3 linked regions of the Macaca mulatta genome follow. The protein of the gene in region 1 binds, or shares a complex with, the protein of each later gene. Links are inferred from orthologs where the notes say so. Each region holds a gene or a part of one and is shown on either strand. Other genes may lie near its edges.

Region 1 (7,644 bases):
ACTGAATGTCAGCACTATGGCAAATTACCCCAAGGCTTATTTGCCCAAAATAATACCATATTTTAAAAATTTATCATGATCCTGTGGGTTAGGAATTGGGAAAAGGCACAGAGGGCTTGGCTGGCTGCAGAAGCCGAATAGCCTCTTCCCTTCTATGTCTAGCACTTCAACTAGGAAGATTTCAAGAGCTGGGGGGCTGAGGAGACCAGGTCAACCCAAGTCACACGTCGGCGCTTCGGTTTCTGCTGTCTGCTGGCTTTCTTCATTCTCTTCTGTGTCAGGACTCTTCCCTCTCAGCATGGTCTTTCCTCTTTGTAACTCCTGTGATCTCTCTAGCAAGATACCCAGACATCTGACATGGCAGCTTTGGACACCTGAAGAGAGCAAAAGGAGATACTGCCAGGCCTTCTCAAGGTTTAGGCCTAGAATTGGTAGAGAGTTACTTCTACAGTATTCTTTGGGTTGAAGGAAGGAAGACATAAACTGTTATGAGCTGAGTTGAGTCCCTCCAAAATTTCTATGTTGAATTCCTAACACTCAGTACCTCAGAATGTGACTGTATTTGGAGACAGGATTTTTAAGGAGGTGATTAAGTTAGAATGAAGCCACTAGGATGGGCTCCAATCCAATATGACTAGTGTCTTTCTAAGAAGAGGAACTTTGGATGCATACATTTTAAGAAGAGGAACTTTGGACACAGAAATTTACAAAGGAGGGCCAGGCTTGGTAGCTCATGCCTGTAATCCCAGCACTTTGGGAGGCTGAGATGGGAGGATCGCTTGAGCCCAGGAATTTGAGACTCCCCTGGGCAACATAGTGAGACCCCCATCTCTATAAAAAGAAATGAACAATGGGGAGGCCATGTGACGATACAGGAAGAAAATAGCCTACTACAAGCCAATGAGAAAAGCCTGAGAAGAAAACAGTCCTACCATCACTTTGATCTTGAATTTCTTGCCTCCAGAATTGTGACAAAATAAATTTGGTTAAGTCACCCTGTCTGTGGTGCTTTGTTATGGCAGCCCAGCAAACTAATAAACAAACGCAATCCAGACTCATTGAGAGGGAAAATAAGGTTCAGCCCTTCACTTAAGGTATGTATGTGCTGACTTAATGGCAAGGAATTGTTGGGAGCCATCTTTGGAAACCAGTTACCGCATTATTATAATCAAATTGCTTTCCTAGCCCCTAGAACTAAGAAAAATGATTGTTGCAGGGTAAGGCACACAGACCTGAACAAGAAGGGTACTCAAGTCTGTGGGCAGAGGGGGAATGTAAGAAGTAGTAGCCTAATAAGACAAATTACCTACTTCAAGAACTTTCTGAAACCTCATCAAGTCCGAGGAGTTATTTCATTTGTGTAAGTCTTGCTTCCTTCTCCAGTCGCCCTTCGCCTTCCACCATCTGCTCACCCCTGCTCTCTGCACTGGCTGTAGGAGGAAGCTAGTGGGAAGGAAAGGGACGGGTCAGGAAGCAGTTTTATCAAGAGTCTGTGTGTTAAAGAAGATGCTTAGAAGGCACAGCCTGGGTAGTGACATGCTCAAAGACTTTTATGTGTACAGGAAAACGTCACATGTATGTTTTGTTGATTGGTTGGTTTTCATTCCTGGTGACATCTTTTTTTCCATTTTCCTTTTTACTTGGCTCCCGCCTCCCCTTCTCTCCCTGTTCTCTCTTTGACAGCTTGTGAGATCCCTTTGCATGTTTTAGAAATCAACCCTGTGTCTGCCGTTTGGATTTCAAATCCATCTTCTAAGTCATTTACCATAGAAAAGTTTTTAAGTGTTACATACTAAAATAGGTCATTCCTTTTAGATGCTAGGTTTCTTTCTCTAGCCCTGAATTCCTAGATGTCACTTTACTAAAGATCACCCACTATAAGAATACCTGTCCCAACAGAACACCTAGTAAATGCTCCATACTGACAATTAAATGTATGTTACACTTCTTATTTCTTTATTGTAATGACACACTCAAGCCCTTCATCTCTCTGATATTTTTTTTCTTCAGGGCTTCTCTCTCCAACAGTATAGCAGGCAGCTAGAGAGGACAGACATCACTCCTCTTGCAATCCTAGTATTTTTTTTTTTTTTTTTTTGAGACGGAGTCTCGCTCTGTCGCCCAGGCTGAGTGCAGTGGCCAGATCTCGGCTCACTGCAAGCTCTGCCTCCCGGGTTTATGCCATTCTCCTGCCTCAGCCTCCTGAGTAGCTGGGACTATAGGCGCCCACCACCTCGCCTGGCTAGTTTTTTGTATTTTTTAGTAGAGACGGGGTTTCACCCGGTTAGCCAGGATGGTCTCGATCTCCTGACCTCGTGATCCACCCGTCTCGGCCTCCCAAAGTGCTGGAATTACAGGCTTGAGCCACCGCGCCCGGCCCCTAGTATTGTTATTCAGGCACTCCTTTTACTTGTCAATGCCAAGGAATGAGTTCAGCACAAAGGGCACAAAGATAGATATTGTTAATTTCCTGTTTACTTGCTGCAGTTTTCCACAAGACCAGTCATTCTCTACTATTTTAATGATCCTGGCTTCACATCAGAATCATCTGGGGAGATTCTTAAAAACAGAGATACTTAGGACTACCTCTAACCTACTTACCAGACTCTTAAAATGCTAGGTGATTCCCTTATGCAGCCAGGCTTGAGAACCACTGGACTAGAAGGTGAGTGGTCTAAACGTCTTCATATCCAGCCTGGCAAAGAGATATTCAGCAAGGAGTGGTTGGGTAAAGATCAATCCTTGCCTTCAAGAACTTTCAGAATGAGCTGTAAGCAACAATAATATTCAGTATGCTAAGTGATCTAACCATGCTCAGAGAGTACATTGGAATACAAGAGAAACAAGTAATGGATTCTGCTAACAGTACTAGACACCTAAGTACTGAATTTTGTGAGACTTTTGGACCAGTTTGATTTAGTATTTATAAATTATCTTCACAGAATTTTGTAGAACTTAGCATCTGTAATTTTAAAAGGAATCTTGGACATGTTCATAGCTTAAGCTTGCAGTTCCATTTCTGGGAAATAATTGGACAAATGCCTCAAAATGATGTACAGGGATTTGTCTCTGAGCTCTCTTTATAGTATTTGAAATTATTTGCTAATATATTGAGTAGTAGAAGATAGCTTGTATAATTAGGGTACATTGGAACCACACATGCCCAGTGGTTCCTTCTCCCTAGCTCAGAGATGAGCTGTATCATATCTTTTTCCCAAGAGAAGTGACTAACATGTTGAAGAAGAGGCGAAGAGTGTTAATCTACCAAAGCCCCTCCACATGGAAAATATGGAGAGTGGCAGATAAATACCCTTTCCCCTATAAAGGAACTCATTATTTCTTACAATTTTTTTAGTGAGTTTGGGAGAAAAATGTGTTTCTTATGTGTACACATGTGCTTCCTTAAACAAACTGAGATTTTCACACTTTTTTGGGGGATACAGGTTCTTTATGGAGCAGCCAATCTCTCTGCACACCTGGTTTCATCTAATAATCTACAGACACCAGCTCTAAGGCCGGTTAATCATCCCCAGTGTCCACGCACAGAATAGTCGGTCCTCCTCACAATGTTGGACTTTCTAGCCGAGAACAACCTCTGTGGCCAAGCAATCCTAAGGATTGTTTCCTGTGGTAATGCCATCATTGCTGAACTTTTGAGGCTCTCTGAGTTTATTCCTGCTGTGTTCAGGTTAAAAGACAGAGCTGATCAACAGAAATATGGAGATATCATATTTGATTTCAGCTATTTTAAGGTAATCTTCCTCAATGCTTTTTTATTTGTTGTCTTTTCTACAAAAACGTGTTTTCTCTGGGAACCGTGAAACTCTGTAAGGTTAAGTAGTTATGGAAAAAGCTAAAGAGAAAAGCTTCTGGACTAAACGTAATGTTAGCTACTAACTTGAAAATAAGTTGAAGGTATTATGTGAGAGCCCTAACACAATATAATTGTATTTTTAAAACGTAACTTTGACATTTCACATTGAAGGGCCCCATACTTAAAAGCATGCTAATCTTGGGTCCAATTCAAATTCATTTATCTCAAAGGGATTTTACATCTAGGCTTCTATTATCTTCATTACTTTCTGTTGCTCCGCTTTAAGTTTAGGATGTTTAAGAACATAAGAACAAGTTTTTAAAAGACTATTTGGAAATTGTCACCAACAAGTATGCTTTTATTGACATTTCATGTGTGTTTTTTTTTCTTAGGGTCCGGAATTATGGGAAAGCAAACTGGACTGTAAGCCAGAGCTACAGGATTTAGATGAAGAATTTCGTGAAAACAACATAGAAATTGTGACCAGATTTTATTTAGCATTTCAAAGTGTGCATAAATATATTGTAGACTTAAACAGGTATTGATCAATTTAGTAACAGCTTATTCTGGTGGTAAATAGTGGAGAGGGAAAAGGACACACAACAACGTGTAAATCTCTCTGAGTTACTATAAAATTTCCTAATTTAGTGTATGCCGTATAAAGTTGTCTCTTCCTTCCTGTGGCACTGGTCATCTTAAGAATTTTAAAGTTTTACTATAATGTCCTGCTTTTGTGAGGTGTCATAATAAACTTAGTTTATACTAAGTCATATAGTTTCCAATCCTGTTATTTATTATCATATTCTAGTGTATTATATGTGAAAAGTGGGAAAAAGAACTTATTTTTATCATTAACTTTCTGTCTCTTATACAGTTCTTAAGAATTCATTACTCATTAACTTTTAAACTAGATATTCCATGTTCTTCTGCCTTTACTCCTAGATACTTGTAATTCACAAATCAGGACTAGGGAATATTTCTTTTACTTGGAACAGCCATAAATATCAAACTGTGGCCTTAAATCAGTTTATAAGACTGTATTCTTAAGAGCGTGAAGGACCATGAACTAGTGGAAGGCCAGAATGCCTGGCATCTTGCCTTATCTTTTAAAAATCTTTCCTCCTTTAAAGATGTTAAAGTTTCTATTATAAATTAATAACTCGCTCTGGGATTTTATTTCTAGATATTTAGATGATCTCAATGAAGGGGTTTATATTCAGCAAACCTTAGAAACTGTGCTTCTCAACGAAGATGGAAAACAACTTCTGGTAAGTAATAGTGATTATTTAAAATGAAATTCAAGAATTTCAAACATAGTATCCCTTTTTTTTCTTCTAAGTCATAAATATAAATGAAATACCATTCTTTAAAGAGAAGCAAAATGAGCTTTTAATTATCTTCTAACTGGCAGGTCCATATCTGAGTTTAGAACGTAGACTTTGAACAGAATTTAAAACAATGAAAAGTTATGTGGAAGTTATGAGCCTCCTCGGTGTAAGAATTCTGTCTTCTTTACTTTTTGCATCCCAGCCATCTGTCCTGGTACCTAGTACATACTGACCATTTAAGAAATGCTTATTGAATAAGTGAATGACTTTATGGTGAAGTGAATGACTTTATGATGAGTAGGTTGCTATTTTGGTGTCCCAAGCAAAATAGCCAAAATAGGTCAACTGAAAGATTATCACTATGAATTAATATCTATTTCACATAAACTTTTCAAGTCCCATTCTGCAAGAAGGTAAGAGCTCTTTGGAGGAGACCTACGTTTTCCTTGAAATCTAAAACTTTTTGGAGAAGTGTGAGCAAAGCGATATTTTTCATGATTACCGACTTTATTCCCTAAGAATGTATAATCTAGTGATTTTGGCTTTTGTCCTCTTCTCTTCTTAGTGTGAAGCACTGTACTTATATGGAGTTATGCTACTGGTCATTGACCAAAAGATTGAAGGAGAAGTCAGAGAGAGGATGCTGGTTTCTTACTACCGATACAGGTATTCCTGGGCTAGGACTCCACTTCCAAAACACTGCTGTTAGTAAAATGCGGTGTATGTCCCCATATTTCTTCTACTGTAAACAGCAGTAATCCAAGAATACATAAGAAAGTATACGATTCATCCAGGCACGGTGGCTCACGCCTGTAATCTCAACACTTTTGGGAGGCCAGGGCCAGTAGATCATCTGAGGTCAGGAGTTCAAGACCAGTCTGGCCAACATGGTGAAACCGTGTCTCTACTAAAACTACAAAAATTAGCCAGTCGTGATGGTGGGCACCTGTAATCCCAGGTACTCAGGAGGCTGAGGCAGGAGAATCGCCTGAACCCGGGAGGTGGAGGTTGCAGTGAGCCAGGATCACGCTACTGTACTCCATCCTAGGTGACAGAGCGAGACTATGTCTCAAAAAAAAAAATATATAAGATTCTTATCTCTTGTGAGCATGTTGTAGGACTATAACAATTACGCCATAGTATATTTCATAATAGATTATAGATTATATAATCTATATATTACATATAAAATATTCTATGTATTATAGATTATTAGAGGTATGGATTATGCTGTCCGTAATGATAACTCCAATTTTAAAAAGGAGTCTGAATTGTGAACTTTCTTTACCTTGAGGCTAAATTTCAAAGAATATTAGAAATCTAATGAAGGTTGTTTTTGCTTTTGTTGTTTACATTTTCAAATATTACTCCTTGGCAGATATAAAGAAAGGAGTGTGCTTTCTGTTGTCATTTGCAGTTTGATGACTTAGAAAAGTTGTCATTCAGAGTCAGGTTGAAAGTGAATTCTTTCCCATATTTACATAGAAACAAAAACAAATCAAGCAATAGCACATATCCACAAATCATTTGTCGTGTATCTCTATACGGAACTGTGATTCTTCGGAAAGTAAGGTCTTGAAAACAGGAGCCATCTTAACCAACTTTTTAATTTTAGTGTCTAACACACAGGTTTTCAATTTGTTGAATGAGCTAAAAATGGAATACCAGGTCAATGTTGGAAATAGTCAAGATGCAGAGAAGAAAGTGTCAATAAGGAGGAGTCAGTTAGGAGCTTGAGCTAAAGATGTAAGGAGTAGAATTAACATTTTCAAACTTAAAAATTAGGACAAAATAGACAAGGAGAAGGGGGTTCTTTGGGGACATTATATTTTCGGCAATACCAGGTACCACTGTGTCCTCAGCAGGAAATTAATCTTAGGCTTCTCAACTAGCCTTTTCCTTTCAGCTGCATCAGAGTGCGAAGGGAGCGTTCTAGCAGTGTTCATTCATGTCAGTTTGACCAAGCTGTTTTAACATCCATGTTTTTAAAAATGAGATTTAAATGGCCTTTCCTATGTTTCTGAGAGTACCTGGAAAAACAAAAACTATAGACAGTGCAAAGAAGAAGAAAAAATTATTGGCTTATCAAGCCCAGTTTTGAAAATATGGCTTTGTCCCCTTTGGTACAACAGCTAATTCATTAGAATGTGAGCATTCATTATTGAAGTGACACTGAACACCTCCAAGTCACAGTCGTGGCAAAAGAGATCCTTACAGCGAATAGCAGGTCATCTCCAAGTCTAAGATTCTTTGAATCTAGTTCATTTCTTTCAGAGCTTACTATTCCACCCAGAAAAATCACAGACCTGTTTATTAGATCTCTGTAGAAGGAACAGCTTGCCAAGAAAAAAGTATAGATTTCACTTTAAATTGACATAATATTTTAAAATTATTTTTTAATTTGTAAAATGTCAGGTTCACATTCTTTACCCACAATTTTCAAATCCAAAGAGCTCTGAAAAAATATGTATACACGAGTACACACACAGCACACATGTACAT
Region 2 (7,644 bases), on another chromosome or scaffold:
TGGCATATCCTAGATAATTGAAACTCAAAATTTGCACAAAGCCCTTTTTTCCCAAAGTATTATTAATAGAAATATTTTTACAACAACTTTTCTAGGTACATTTTCTTATCTCTACAGGTGAGATAATTGAGACATAGGGAGATTTGCACAAGATCACACAGCTTATGAGTGGTAGAGCTAAAAGTTAAACCTAGACAGTCTGACTTCAAAGACCAGCTCTCAGTCATTACACTAGGATTGCCTATATTTTGAAAATAATGGTTATATAAACTAAATTAGATTTTTGAGAAGTTCTTCAAAATAATTTGTGACTGTCTTTCACTTTTAGTTTATGACATGGAAAATTTAAGACAAGATATTATGAACCTATTTGTATAGCCTTAAAACTTAAGACAGCTATTAAAAATATACAAACCTAGAAACTTATAGTGTTTATGCAGGTACTATCTTCATATTTCAATACCAATTTTCTTTTCATCTTTTTTCAGTTGTCATCTATCCCAGGCCTAGATGATGTCACAGTTGAAGTATCTCCTTTAAATGTCACCAGTGTCACAAATGGAGCACATCCTGAAGCCACTTCAGAGCAACCACAGGTGAGTTCTAAGAAATGAGCAGATGTTTTTGGTTGAAACTGATAGTCTTAAGCAGCAGGTTGGAAGGAAGAAAAATAAAAATGTAAAACTTCTAATAGTAAAATTTTAAAACCTTAACATAGAAAATGAAGTTTGGGAAAAACAAATTAGCTGTGTTATTTTGAAGGGCTTCCTTAAGTTAATACTTTCTTTGCCTATAAAAAAGAAAATCAGTCTATATAGGACTAGGAAAAATCTTCAAATAATTATTTTCTTCAACATAATTAGAAATTTTTCTAAGTTCTTATAAGAAATGTACTTTTAAAATGTTTTATTGTAAAATTTTTAAATATACACAAAAACAGACCTGAATTCACCAGTTATGATTTGTCACAATTGCTTTATCTATTTTCTTGGTCACTTGCTGAAATTAATCCCAGACAGTTTATCATCTCACCCCTGCATAAATTTTTGAGCATCTCTGAAAAGTTTTGACATGTTCTTTTGTAACATTTTTCTTATATAAATGCCTTTATCATATACAATGTAATTAACAATAATTGGCCAGGTGCAGTCTTTCATGCCTGTAATCCCAGCACTTTGGGAGGCTGAGGCAAGTGGATTGCTTGAGCTCAGGAGTTTGAGATTAGCCTGGGCAACATGGTAAAACTGTCTCCACTAAAAATACAAAAATTAGCCAGGTGTGGTGGCACGCACCTGTGGTCTCAACTACTCAGGAGGCTGAGGTGAGGGGATCACTTGAGCTCACGAGGCAGAGGTTGTGGTGAACTGAGATTGCACTACTGCACTCCAGCCTAGGTGACAGCGCAAGACCCTGCCTCAAAAATTAAAAAAATAAAAATAAATGAACATTCGCTGGTATTGTCTAACCCCTTGTTACTCAAGTACACCCCATGGACCAACCCACATGGGCATCACCTGGCGGCTTGTTAGAATGAAGCATCTCAGGCTCCACCCCAAAACTGCTGAGAATCTACATTTTAACAAGACCCCTAGGTGATCTGTAGGCACTTAAAATTTGAGAGCTACTGATCTTAGAAATACCAGTTGTCTAAAAACTGTGTTTCTGAAGTTGATTCCTTTGAATCAGCATCCTAATAAAAGCTATACTTTACATTTGGCTCTTAGATCTTAACATTTACTTATGCTTCTGTATGAATTTCAATTTTCTATTACTTTTTATTTCAAAAAATAAAAATTATTTGTTTTTTGAGAACAATCTCTAGTGTATCTCAGCGAGGTATTAAAATCTAAAACAAAATAATTATCAAAGTGGTGGCCTACCAAAGTAATAATAAACAAATTAAACAAATAGACTTATAATGGAATTCTGCCTTTGTACCTGGAGGCACTTTTCACAGGATATTTTTTAGATCACGATGATGTTGACAATGATGATAACAGCTAACACTTCAAGAGTGCTTTCTGTGTACCAAGGCATGCACGTTTCTAAGTGCCTTTCATAAACGAATTTAATCTTTACAACAGCCCTATAATATAAGCACCATATTATCAATCTTACTTTATAGATGGGTCAAATGAGGTATATAGAGGTTAAGTAACTTGCTGAAGGTCGAAAAGTAATGTAAGAATTAGAATTTTAACCCAGACAGTCTGGTGCCAAGAGCCCTAGCACTTACCTGCTACACTACACTACACTATACTACACTACACTACTCTGTTTTCAGTACCTGTGTTCAATTTATTAAACATATTGAGGATATGTGGTATGAGGCCCTGTAGGAAAAGCCATATATTTAGAATATAGTATATATTTGGGTAATAAATTAGATGATCATTTACTTAATTAGATATTATAAAATTTAACATCCATTTATTTAATATAGCAAATTTCATTATCCTGGCCACTCAAATATATAAAATGCAAGAGGATATCCAGATGTTATAGAGGAGTTTAACTTTATATTCTCTCAATTAAATATGACTATCCTCTTTCTAAAACAAAGCATACCAAGAAAATATTTCCACTCTATCTAGTAGTTATTATGTGGTGGATAGAGCAGTCATATATTTCTATAATATTTTTAAGTATACCTGTCTAACTTTATTAATTTTTCCAGGTGCTATTATGAATGCCATCTATAGTATGCCCTTTAAAATTTTTATGCAGTTGTGTTGGTCCTCACATATTTAATGTCCCAAAAAATTGATTACCAGTAATCACAGCTGAATTTCTTAATTTGCTTTGCAAATTCAGAATAACCTGGTATATCTCTGGCAATTTTATTTAAAAATGTTTATGTATTTATTTAGAGGGTTTATGAAGTTCTTTTGGCTTCCAAAGTTTGAAATACTGTGATAAAGTTGTGTGTTGATTAGCTTAATAAAATAACTGCTCAGCATGTTCTTAATATTCACATCAACTTCTCATTTCTTCGTTGTTATCAACTGGTATATTTTATACAAAATATTTTGAAGTGGGCTTAAGTATTGCTTAATCCAGAGTTTTCATTGACATTATAGTTCACTCAATTAACAGATAAAGGGGAATAGTGCACTTTTTAAAAAAATCATCTATTTATCACTCTCTCTAATCTATACATGAGTCAAAGACCCAAAGTTTGTGTACTGATTTTTCTGCAACTTTAATTTCATGGTTCAGATTTCATCATTATTCACAATAGAATATCCAATTGTGCAGAGTGAGTTTGATTTGAGAATATATGAAGGACAGTTGAGAGATATGATAGAGGATTTAATGGATCATTCAGATAGCAAAGGTGTTTCATAATTAAACCTTGTTGAGGTCTTGGTTATTACGCAAACGTTAACGACTGAGAGTTGATATCTGGCCAGGATATAGTTCTCATTTGCACCATTTTGCTATTATATATATGAGTTTAATTTCCATAAATTGTTAAAAAACATATTTGGTTATTGTTTTAATTTTTTATTTAATTAACTGTTTTGGAATTTTTGTATTTATGTATATTATAGATGAATATATATACACACACACACATATATATATACACACACACACACACAGTGACTTTTGTAAAACTTAGCAATATCATGTAACAGAAGAAACCTAAAGGACTTTTGGATGTTTTTATTTGCTTTGGAATTTTCAGATTTAATTTATATTTGAATTATCTGAGGAAAAACTTCAATATGTAATTCACATTCATAGTCTAAAGACTGTGAAGATATAAAGATATGGATTTATCTACATTTCAGCATGAACAATAGACATAAAATTGATTTCTTCTAAGGAAATTCTTCTTAATGCTTATATACAGATAATGAGAGAGATTCACAAAAGTAAGCTTTTTCTAAATGTTTGGTTTGATAGAAAAATCAAGTACTGTATACAGGCAGTTCTAGTTTTGCATTTAAGCAAGGATATGGTTCTGATATGCACAAGTTTCAGTAACATGGTACCATGCAAAGTGAAGACTGCCTGTATAACAATGGCATTTTTATCTAAAAAGACCATTCCCCAAGATTCTTTATTACAAGTCGTATTTACTATGACTTTTAACCACTCCGTAGACAATGTTACCATTAATAGTTCCATCAGTAGCTGAAATATATAAAACCAGATAATTTTGTCTGACAAACTGGCTTCTCTTCTACAACTTCTCCAAAAATTGCTTTCTAAAAAGTTAGAAGAGCCATGTCCACTTAGAATAAAATGATTTACTAAATAAAGGGCTCAATTAGGTAGATTATAGATATCTAGGAAATCAATTCATCATTATCTCAGTTAATTTATTATTAATTTATAAACAGTTGATAGTTTTATTAGGTTTCTTAAAAGTTTTGTTAAAATAGTATAACCACCTATATATAATTCATGCTTTGTATCAGCACTCTGAGGACAAGTAAAACAGAATTTTTATTTTAATGCATGAATATACTTGTGTTTTAAGGAACCAATATAGTGTTGAAGTGTAACCTCCTCTGAAGTGATATTTAAATATTTGTAGATATTTGCAAACATATCTCATCATTAAATTATTGGTATTTAAATTGGGGGAGATGCTTTTTTTTCTGCAATTTATTGCCTTAGAATTATGGAAAGAAGCATTCCTTTTAAGTAACATGATGGACCCCTTTTGTAAATTGTCTAAAGATTTACACAAAATACTCTCTACAGCAGAGCAGTACACAAGACTCTGGACTACAGGAAAGTGAAGTATCAGCAGAAAATATCTTAACTGTAGCCAAGGATCCAAGATATGCCAGATATCTCAAAATGGTTCAAGTGGTAAGCTAATTTGGTCTGTCTTCTTTGTGTAGCAGCCTCATTTGAAATTCTTAACCCTGGAGGTTTTGCTGTTATTTTTTTCAATTTGAGAAAACTGCTAAACCAAGTAACCAAGTTTTCTATTCTCTTCCTTTCTATTTTAACTCTCTGATTTAAAAAAAAAAAAAAAAAAAAGTCAAATCTTTGTAATTAGAATCGATCCCACCCTTTAAATTAACATAGTTTAATATAGATTTATATAAATTTGTTTGCATTACACAAAGTTATCAAGGCAAATCTTAGATACAAAAAGTAATGAAAGTAGACTATTCATTTGGTAAATCAGTTGATTCTAGCTTAATTCCCATATATTAGCACAAATAATATTTTTAAAAATTTTTATGTTCATCTATCAATGATCTCTTGGCCATGTAAGGTAATGCTTTTGATATTATATGACTTCAGAATTCATATTTTTCCTGAGAAATCATAACATGGTATGGTACCAAAAATATCTGCAGTCGTCTATAATAGCAGAAGTTAACATTTTTTTATTCCTTTAGAAACTATTTCAATAGTTGAAGGAGTTAGTTGTCCATCATTTTTCTGTTAATCAAACAGTTAAAGCCTGGCACAGTGACACACACCTGTAATCCTAGCACTTTGGGAGGCTGAGGTGGGAGGATGACTTGAAGACAGGAGTTTGAGACCAGCCTGGGCAGCAAAGCAAGACCCCCTACCTCTACATTTAAAAAAAAAAAACTCCATATGATGGCATGCACCTGGTAGTCCCAGCTACTCAAGAGGCTGAGGTGGGAGGATTGCTTGAGCCCAGGAGTTCAAGGGTGCACTGGCTCACCTGACTGATTGTGCCACTGTACTTCAGTGTAGGTGACAGAGAGAGACCCTGTCTCAAAAATAATAATAATAATAATGCTTTTGTAAAATTCTATTATCAAGCAAAAGAAGCAGAATACTAATACTAAAGGACAGTTTTGTTTTGCTGTCCATGGGATAGTTTATCACCTAGTAATTTAAAAGCAAATTCTGACAACCAGAAAGAGTAGATTGGCTCATTTGGAAGCTGCACTTTTCCTAGCTATCAGAAGTGGATTTTTCACTTCCACAGTTCCTTTTTTCTGACGCCTAGAGCTCAGGATATTGGCGGTCAATTTAGAAAAAAATAAACCAAACTTCGGGGTGAAAATAGATGAAGTTTTTTAATTAAGAAGAATAAAACACAGCCAGTTTAAGCATGAATCATGATGAACACATTTTTAAAACTAGAACCCAGGAAAGCCTAAGCTTAAAAGATAGACTTGTTTAAAAAAAAAAAAAAAAAAAAAAAAAAAAAACTGTGTTTCACTCTTCTAAACAAAAGGGAGATGCTTCAGAATGACTGAAAGATTTTTTATATTAGCCCCTTCTTGCCAAATCTATATAAAATAAGAAATAGGAAAATCTATTAGATGATACTCCGTAAAAATGCTCTGAAATATTTTATGAAGGCTGCATCTTAGGATAATTGTTAAATTCTTGATATATTGCCTTCAATTTTACAAGAACTTCAAAAACTCTTTTTCTTTTTCATTATAAATCCACCATCTGTTCATTTCACAAATATTTATCAAATACTTAATTTAAGCTAAGCTACTGTATTAGGTACTGTCTAGATTTATTTAGCCAGCTAAGGTTTCCAGATACCACTTGCAATTTTTATTTTTGTTATTAATTACATGAACAAGTTTGATTGCTTTTCAGTCATAAATATACATATAAAATAAATGACCCGGGCTGGGCACGGTGGCTCACTCCTGTAATTCCAGCACTTTGGGAGGCCAAGGCAGGCGGATCACCTGAGGTCGGGAGTTTGAGACCAACCTGACCAACATGGAGAAACCTTGTCTCTACTAAAAATACAAAATTAGCTGGGCATGGTGGCACATGCCTGTAATCCCAGCTACTCGGGAGGCTGAGGCAGGAGAATAGCTTGAACCCAGGAGGCGAAGGTTGCGATGAGCCGAGATCATGCCATTGTACTCCAGCCTGGGCAACAAGAGTAAAACTCTGTCTTAAAAAAAAAAAAACAAATAGATGACCCTTTAATTATTTACTTTTTTAATCATATGTCTTATCACCTCATAGGAATAAGAGCCAAGATCCTCCACAGGCCCATGAAATCCTATACAGTTTAGCTCCTCTGTTACCCCTATGATCTCATATCCTCGCTCACTCTTCTCTAGCTCTACTGGCCTCCTTTTTGTCCCTTGAATAAAAATACATTGGCAGCCCCTGTCTTGGGGCCTTTGCTTCAGCTGTTCTCTTGGCCTGAAACACTTTTCCTCAGATACCTTCATGGTTTGCTCCCTCACCTCCTTCAAATCTATATTCAAAAATATTACCTTCTAAGTACAGCCTTCCTTGGCCACCCTGTTTTAAATTGCAGTGTCCTCTTACCCAATTCCCTTTACCCCTTCTCTGCTGTATTTTTCTTCTTATCAACTTCCAGCATTCTACATATTTTATATATTTACTCTCTCTCTTCCCTACAAAATTATAAACTCCAAAAGGACAGGGAATTTTTTTGTGTACTACACTATTCCTCATTCCTGCAACAATACCTTGTACATAGTCCTGTGAATGAAAATGCTTATAATTTGTCTATACCATTTCACCTTTTGATAGATTTAGGTGATAGATTCCTTTTTCACACTAGCTCAGTAGTTTGATAAACTTCCAAAATATAAGTTCCTGGGCCCTACCCTACAAAATTAGAATCTCCAAAGTTGGTACTTGATACATAGAGCGTATGTATTTTGGGGAAAAAAACCCTGA
Region 3 (7,644 bases), on another chromosome or scaffold:
TGTCTAAACCAAGTTCCCTCCACCTTCTATATTTATGCACTTTTTAAAACCTAGATGTTGGGCTTCACATTTGTTCCTTGTAAATTTCGTCTTGGTGATTGCAGTCTACCCTCTGGCCTTTAAAAATTATCTGAGCCTTGATTCGATCATGCAGACCAGTGTACCCTTCCCCTATGTGCTGGCCCCAGTTTTCTAACCGGGTGTTGAATGAACTGGATGGACTCTGCCAGGTCCCTCCGTGCAAGGCTGGAATCAGTCCATTGTTCAACTGTGCCCTTTGGGGCCATGGTTCATTTGGCTCTGATTTTTCCTGTATGTTCTCTCCTCTAACCCCCATAGCTCCATCTTGTCTACAAGATTTTGTTAGAAGCCGTCAAAATCCGTGCTGACTCAGGATGTACTGTGCTGCAAGTTTTCCCCGGGTGCAGCAGGCTCATAACCCTGTTACAGAGAGAAACGCTGTGCATTTCCAGCCGTGCTGGCCCCTGGGACTCACCGCTGCCTTTTCTAAGTGCTTACAGATTCTCTGTTTAATAATCCATTGCAGAAATTTTTTCAGGGCTCATTGTTGGGCTTGGTGTTTGCACCTTTGAGTGATCAGCCCTTCTCTCCTCTGTGGGAGCACCAGGACAGAGCAGCCTTTGTCCCTCCCCAGTCTCAGTTCCCTCCCACTGCCCCTGTGGATCTCGAGTGCAGAGCTTATGCAACTTCTGAAGGTCGTGTCAACACCCGGGGCAGAACGAGGCTGCCTTGGGAACTAGGGTAAATTAAAACAGCTTGTGCTGGAGGACCCTTAACAGCAGATGAAGGCCTCTCCCCAGCCAGAAAAGATGGAGCACACGCTGGGTGGGGCCCCACTTTCTCACTGGAAGGAGATGGTGCTCTTGTTTTTTCTTTCTGAGTTGTGGCCGCCTTCATACCAGTCTGTCATGGAACACTTAAGTTGCTCGGGTGCTTGCTGGTATTCCCAGCCCTGCCATGCCTCAGCGCCCTGCACACGAGGAGCCAGGAGTAATCAGGGCAGACTCATTAGGGTACGGGGACTCCTGGATTGTGAAATTGGCTCTCTGGGGGCCAAGGCCTTCTAAAGTTGGTGGAGGTGGCTTTGGCTTTTAGGGTCTAATTCTAGGCCATTCATTCCAACCTTTAGAGAAATCCCAGCATTCCCTAGCCCAGAGTCTGCAACCCCTCTACCACCCCACATCCTCCTCCTACCTTTCCTCATGAACCCCAGTTGCGCCTCTGCCTTCTCATTCCTGTGCATCACACAGGCTCGTGCGTGCCAGGTGGATGCTGAGGCTGCTCTGAATGTGGAGTGTGGCCCTTGTGGGCAAGGGCTGGGTTTTTGGAGGTAGCGGAGCTACAGGGGCAACTGGGAGGAGGATGTTGTGTTACATACACATCAGAGTTAACTTTGCAGTGAGAGCGGCCTTGCTGTGGCCAAAGAACATGGAAAAGCATGAGTGGGGTTGTGTGCCTCAAAGCATCAGGCATCCGGGCCTCGGGCACCGGGAGCCAGCCACAGGGATGTCTGGGGAAATGGCGCTCCATGAGATGCAAGCGCACAGGAATGCACTTGGTACATCTGGGGGACAGCAGGGCAGCTGGTATCACTGGCCCACCCGCACCAGGGAGGATGGGAGCGGGTGAGGAGCTACACCACACAGAGCCCGTGGGCCGTGGTCGGGACTCAGGGTTTGCTCAGTGAGCCATTCACTGTGCAGGGGCAGTTCCCTGTCTGAATTTAGGTCCAGCCTTGCCAGTCCAGCCTCCGGTCTCGATTCCCCCTCTGCAGAGGCCACTTTGTCTGCTTCACGTGATCATGAGGGGTTGTGAAATGCTTGCCCCATCAGTAGCCATGTGTGCATGTGTAAATACCATCCTCTGTGTGCCCTGGAGGCTGTCCTTCAGATAGCATGTACAGGTGCCAGCATAGGGTCTGTCCCTGCTGAGAGTGCGGGGAACTCAGTACCGTCAGCTCCTCGACCCTGCAGGTCAGATTATCCTTGTAGAGGCCACATGGATGGTACCAAGATGGGCCCTGGCAAGCAGGTGACCGTGACTTAGGAGCCCTTGCCTGAAGGCCTGGCCTGGCAGGCCTGCTGTTAGGAGCAGGAGGTGTGCAGGGGGTGGGGAGCAGCCCCAGCCTCTGTGATCTTCTCCGTGGCAGGATCTCCCAGCGGGTAGAGCAGAGCCGGAGCCAGGTGCAGGCCATTGGAGAGAAGGTCTCCTTGGCCCAGGCCAAGATTGAGAAGATCAAGGGCAGCAAGAAGGCCATCAAGGTAGCCCCCATGCCCCTGTGTCCTAAGGCTACTGGGCAGTCCCTCCATTTCCCCGTACCTCTGAGGCTGCCCAGTCTCTGCCTCGCTGTCCACCTGTACCTTGGACTTTCCTCCTGCCCAGGCCCCCAACCCCACCCTCTCCTGCCAGGCAATCCTAGCCCCCAACCCCACCCTCTCCTGCCAGGCAATCCTAGCCCCCAACCCCACCCTCTCCTGCCAGGCAATCCTAGCCCCCAACCCCATCCTCTCCTGCCAGGCAATCCTAGCCCCCAACCCCACCCTCTCCTGCCAGGCAATCCTAGCCCCCTGAGCCTCTTGGGGCCCCTGACTTGTCCCTGTGTCCACAGGTGTTCTCCAGTGCCAAGTACCCTGCTCCAGAGCGCCTGCAGGAATATGGCTCCATCTTCACAGGCGCCCAGGACCCTGGCCCGCAGAGACGCCCCCGCCACAGGATCCAGAGCAAGCACCGCCCCCTGGATGAGCGAGCCCTGCAGGTCTGCTGGCCACACACATAACATAGCCCGGGTCACACCAGGAGGACTGGATACTGGGGAGGAGCCGGGGCCACTGTAGGGTTCTGTCCCCCGGAGGAGGCTGACTGGGATGGGGTGGCAGCTGATTAGGCCCAGCAGTAAATATTCACCATCCCTTGGCCATCCTGGCCCTCCCAGGAGAAGCTGAAGTACTTTCCTGTGTGTGTGAGCGCCAAGCTGGAGCCTGAGGACGACGCCGAAGAGGGACTTGGGGGTCTTCCCAGCAACATCAGCTCTGTCAGCTCCTTGCTGCTCTTCAACACCACCGAGAACCTGTATGGCCAGAAGGCAGGGCCGAGGGGTGTGGGCGGGAGGCCCAGCCTGGCTTAGTGGGGACCCAGGGCATCAGACACAGGTACAGCACATAGGCCAGGAGCCAGGGGTGACTGGGGTGGCTTGGCTTGGGAGGCCTGGGACCCCACAGTGCACACTGTGCCCCTGATGATGTGGAGAGGTAGGTCAGGAACATGGGCTCAGGACAGCAGGTGTCAGCTTGCCTGACCCCCATGTCACCCCTGTAGGTACAAGAAGTATGTCTTCCTGGACCCCCTGGCTGGTGCTGTAACAAAGACCCATGTGATGCTGGGGGCGGAGACAGAGGAGAAGCTGTTTGATGCCCCCTTGTCCATCAGCAAGAGAGAGCAGCTGGAACAGCAGGTGGGAGGGGCGGGGCAGGGGTGGGGACAGGTGCAGTGGCCAGGGGCCCTGCCAGGGCTCCTCTCCAGGCAAGGCTGTTGAGCCCCTTATTCCACCCATGGGGGGTGCACACAAGGTCTTGTTGGCTGCCCCTGCAGGTCCCTGTCACCACTCACATGTCCCTACCTAATCTTGCAGGTCCCAGAGAACTACTTCTATGTGCCAGACCTGGGCCAGGTGCCTGAGATTGATGTGCCATCCTACCTGCCTGACCTGCCCGGCATTGCCAACGACCTCATGTACAGTGCCGACCTGGGCCCCGGCATTGCCCCCTCTGCCCCTGGCACCATTCCAGAACTGCCCACCTTCCACACTGAGGTAGCTGAGCCTCTCAAGACAGGTGAGCTGGGCTCTGGGATGAGGGCTGGGCTAGGGACCTCCCTGCTCACATACCTTCTTCCCTAGACACCCCACACTTTGTGTTTCAGACCTACAAGATGGGGTACTAACAGCACCCCCACCACCTCCACCGCCCCCACCACCTCCCCCAGCTCCTGAGGTGCTGGCCAGTGCACCCCCACTCCCACCCTCAACCGCGGCCCCTGTAGGCCAAGGCGCCAGGCAGGACAACAGCAGCAGCGCGTCTCCTTCAGGTGGGAGCAGCTCTTTGAGGGCACCTCATTTCTGGTGTGCTCTGTGCACTCAGGTGGATTTTCTGCAGGTTTGTTCAGTGGTCAGAAATCCTCGATTTTTTGAATAGTTCCCATTTCAAATATCTTGTTCTACTTGGTCCATAAAATAGTAGTTTTCAAGCTGTAGAGCTCTGGAATTCTCACCTCTAGTGCGCAGGGAGCCTGAACAAGTGAGGCTCTGGGTTCCCCATTCCTAATTAAACCAATGGAAAGAAGGGGTCTAATAACAAACTACAGCAACACATTTTTCAGTGTCACTGAAATTACAACATTTCAGCTTTACTGTTCTATCTCCCAGTCTATCCCTAGCATCCAGAAGTGGCACAAAGCCCCTCTGCTGGCTCATGTGTGCCGCTGAGACTGTCCAGCTCTGCAGGGTGGGGGCTGGGGAGGGAGCAGGGAGTGTCTCACACAGGATGCCTGTGCTCAGGCCCTACACAGTCTCCAAAGGTCCAGCCTCCCCAACACGGGGCTACACAGTCTCCAAAGGTCCAGCCTCCCCAACACGGGGCTACACAGTCTCCAAAGGTCCAGCCTCCCCAACACGGGGCTACACAGTCTCCAAAGGTCCAGCCTCCCCAACACGGGGCTACACAGTCTCCAAAGGTCCAGCCTCCCCAACACGGGCTCCTCGTTTGAGGGGAGGTGCCTTCCTCCCAGCAGGCTCTTGGCACAATAAGCTTCCCCAGGCCTGCCTGAGCAGCCTTTTCTCCTTGCCCCGTTCCCCACCTCCCAGCTCCAGTCCAGGGAGCTCCCAAGGAAGTGGTCGACCCCTCTGGTGGCCGGGCCACTCTGCTGGAGTCCATCCGCCAAGCCGGGGGCATCGGCAAGGCCAAACTGCGCAGCGTGAAGGAGCGAAAGCTGGAGAAGAAGAAGCAGAAGGAGCAGGAGCAAGGTGAGCGGGCCCTGGAGCCTGTGGTCGGAGGGCCTTGGGCAAGATGGCCTCCTCTCCTCCAGCCTTGAGTCCACTGGCTGTTTCCTGCCCACCCCCTGCCAGCCCCAGCCCCTGCTTCCCCTAGGGCACAGGCTGGAAGCCCTGGCCCGCCAACAGAGGTCCTCAGCCCTCCTGCCGGGGCCATGGCTCCTTCCTGGTTTGGGAGCCATAGTGGAGCTCTCCTCTGTAAGCGCACCCAGCTCAAACTGTGACAAGGAGAATCTTCTTCGACTGCTGAGTGGTCCGAGGCAATGGTCAGCCCCTGCAGCCTCCTGAGATATTTTTAGAGACTGGACCTGAGGCCTCTTGAGGCTACTGATGATGCCTGCTGCGAACCCAGACACTGGTGTGATGCGATGCCTGTGTGTACGGCAGCAGCGCCCTGGGCACTGTGGTTTTGAGCTTGTACCCAGCGCTGCTTTTGCCTTGCTCTGTGACCCCAGGCAAGCTGCCTCACCTATCTGGGCCAGTTTCCCCATCCGTCAGTGCTGCACACCCTGGTCCTGTCCCTGAGGTGGCTGGGAGAGTGCTTCTCAGACATAAGCACTCTCTCATCAGTGCCTGGTGCTGGGTCAGGGATAGACTGAGGCTCCAAGCTAACTGGGAAGCACGGTGGCCTTGGAGGGCTGGGGAGTGTCACGGGTGGGGACAGGGAGCCACGGGTCGCCTGTGACTGAACTCTTCACCCTGGCTTTCCCGTTGCAGTGAGAGCCACGAGCCAAGGTGGGGACCTGATGTCGGATCTCTTCAACAAGCTGGTCATGAGGCGCAAGGGTAGGAGGCAGGGCCGCTGCCCACCCTGGGCCGGCCCATTGTAATTCTCTCCTGCCTTTTTCTTCCTGTATTTAAGTCTCCGGGGGATGGGGGAACCAGGGTTTCCCACCAACCACCCTCACTCAGCCTTTTCCCTCCAGGCATCTCTGGGAAAGGACCCGGGGCTGGTGAGGGGCCCGGAGGAGCCTTTGCCCGCGTGTCAGACTCCATCCCTCCTCTGCCACCACCGCAGCAGCCACAGGCAGAGGAGGACGAGGATGACTGGGAATCCTAGGGGGCTCCATGACACCTTCCTCCCCCAGACCTAGACTTGGGCTGTTGCTCTGACATGGATACAGCCAGGACAACCCGCTGAGACCTGCTTCCCTGGGAGCGGGTGGTGATGGAACCAGCACTGTGCGGAGACCACCTGCAAGGAGCGGAAGGCTGGCCTGAGGCCACACGGCTGGGGCGGGGGCTTCTGTCCTCCTGTGCTCCACGGGGGGCGGCTCCACCCAGCCTGCACCATTGTGTTCTTCTCTTCTCTAAGGAGGCTTCCAGAGAAAGCAGCACACAAATCAATAAGGAACTGAGCAGAAACCAACAGCGTGCTTTTAATAAAGGACCTCTAGCTGTGCAGGATGCAAACGTCTGGGGGTCAGTGACTTTCCTCCTGCCCCTGTTGGTCCCTAGGCAATGGGGGCAGAAGATCCCAGCTGACCCATTTCTCTGGGGTCAGAGGGAGGAGAGAGGTGCAGTCAGCAGGGGCAGCTGTTGCAGGTGGGAGGAATAGTCTCCCACAGAAAAAAGCTTTCAGTGACAGACACGGGGTCTCTAAAAATAGTCATGCTGAGAGCCTAATGGCCCTTGGCACCATTGCTGGTGTTGGAGTAGAAGGTGTCTTGGAGTTGGCTCAAGTAGTTGAGAGGGAGGGAGGTGCCATCGACTTGGAGGAACTGGCACCAAGCCAGGGAGATACAAATCCAGGCAGGGCTGTGGGGCAGGTTAGGGAGCAGGGCTGCAGGAGTGACTCAGGAAGAAGGTGGGGAAAGTGACAAGCACCCCGGGCGGGAGCCCTGTGGCCATGCGGATCTTTCTAAGTTGAGACTGGAGGGTGAATAGTCCAGGGCAGCTGACTGTAGTTATCATAGAAATGGCAGAAGCAGATGCGTCTGCTCCATCTCGCCTCTAAGAAGGTTAAGAAGGTGGGCAGGACAGAAAAGGCAGCCTCCTGCAGAGGCCAGTGAGAAGCCTGGCCCTCAGCCATGTGGGATGGAAGATAGATTCGATTCCACAGAGGGGAGCTGCCCTGGGAAGACCTCAAGGATGGCCCAGACCTACCATTTCTTCGGGGTCCACTTGCTTTCTCCAGTGGGCACTAATGCTGTGTCTGGGTCCTGGCAGCACTCTGGACTCCACACACTCCTGGGTTTCACCTTTGTAGCACGATCCCTGCAGACCAGGCCCATGACAGACACTGTCTCCAGTGGGCAGAGCGAAGGCGGCGCAGCACCAGGCAGTGGTGCAGTTGCCTGTCAGGAAGAGGCCGACTTCTCCTGGTGAAACTGGGCAGACAGAAGGCAGTGAGAAATGCCATCTCGGGGTGGTGGAGGCTCTCGGGAAAGGAAAAGGCAGGACTGAACTTCCACACAGCAGCAATGGCCGAACCAAAGGTGGCATTGACCTGCACGAGGGCTCAGATCCAGGCTGGCAGCTTGGCCAGGACGGGGCCGGGTGTGTCACTGGTCCAGGAACACTATGCTGGCAGAATCCCTTCGGTGCCTGATGGTCCTGCCTTTGTGGGAACGGAGGCT

What was found.
Region 2: WASHC5 (region 1) and WASHC3 share a complex: the UniProt entries of both Homo sapiens proteins name them as parts of the WASH core complex. The link is inferred for Macaca mulatta from reciprocal best matches to the Homo sapiens genes WASHC5 and WASHC3.
Region 3: WASHC5 (region 1) and WASHC1 share a complex: the UniProt entries of both Homo sapiens proteins name them as parts of the WASH core complex. The link is inferred for Macaca mulatta from reciprocal best matches to the Homo sapiens genes WASHC5 and WASHC1.

What each region holds. Positions count from the first base shown.
Region 1 is NC_133413.1:135,514,550-135,522,193, reverse strand, and holds part of WASHC5 (WASH complex subunit 5), read left to right. Parts: intron 1-3,443; 5' UTR 3,444-3,566; coding exon 3,567-3,752; intron 3,753-4,206; coding exon 4,207-4,352; intron 4,353-4,997; coding exon 4,998-5,082; intron 5,083-5,707; coding exon 5,708-5,808; intron 5,809-7,644. UniProt on the Homo sapiens protein: Acts as a component of the WASH core complex that functions as a nucleation-promoting factor (NPF) at the surface of endosomes, where it recruits and activates the Arp2/3 complex to induce actin polymerization, playing a key role in the fission of tubules that serve as transport intermediates during endosome sorting.
Region 2 is NC_133416.1:109,346,553-109,354,196, reverse strand, and holds part of WASHC3 (WASH complex subunit 3), read left to right. Parts: intron 1-488; coding exon 489-596; intron 597-4,719; coding exon 4,720-4,830; intron 4,831-7,644. UniProt on the Homo sapiens protein: Acts as a component of the WASH core complex that functions as a nucleation-promoting factor (NPF) at the surface of endosomes, where it recruits and activates the Arp2/3 complex to induce actin polymerization, playing a key role in the fission of tubules that serve as transport intermediates during endosome sorting.
Region 3 is NC_133416.1:784,891-792,534, reverse strand, and holds the end of WASHC1 (WASH complex subunit 1), read left to right. Parts: intron 1-2,170; coding exon 2,171-2,282; intron 2,283-2,629; coding exon 2,630-2,776; intron 2,777-2,953; coding exon 2,954-3,090; intron 3,091-3,336; coding exon 3,337-3,472; intron 3,473-3,649; coding exon 3,650-3,851; intron 3,852-3,939; coding exon 3,940-4,104; intron 4,105-4,879; coding exon 4,880-5,038; intron 5,039-5,782; coding exon 5,783-5,851; intron 5,852-5,991; coding exon 5,992-6,125; 3' UTR 6,126-6,472; downstream 6,473-7,644. UniProt on the Homo sapiens protein: Acts as a component of the WASH core complex that functions as a nucleation-promoting factor (NPF) at the surface of endosomes, where it recruits and activates the Arp2/3 complex to induce actin polymerization, playing a key role in the fission of tubules that serve as transport intermediates during endosome sorting.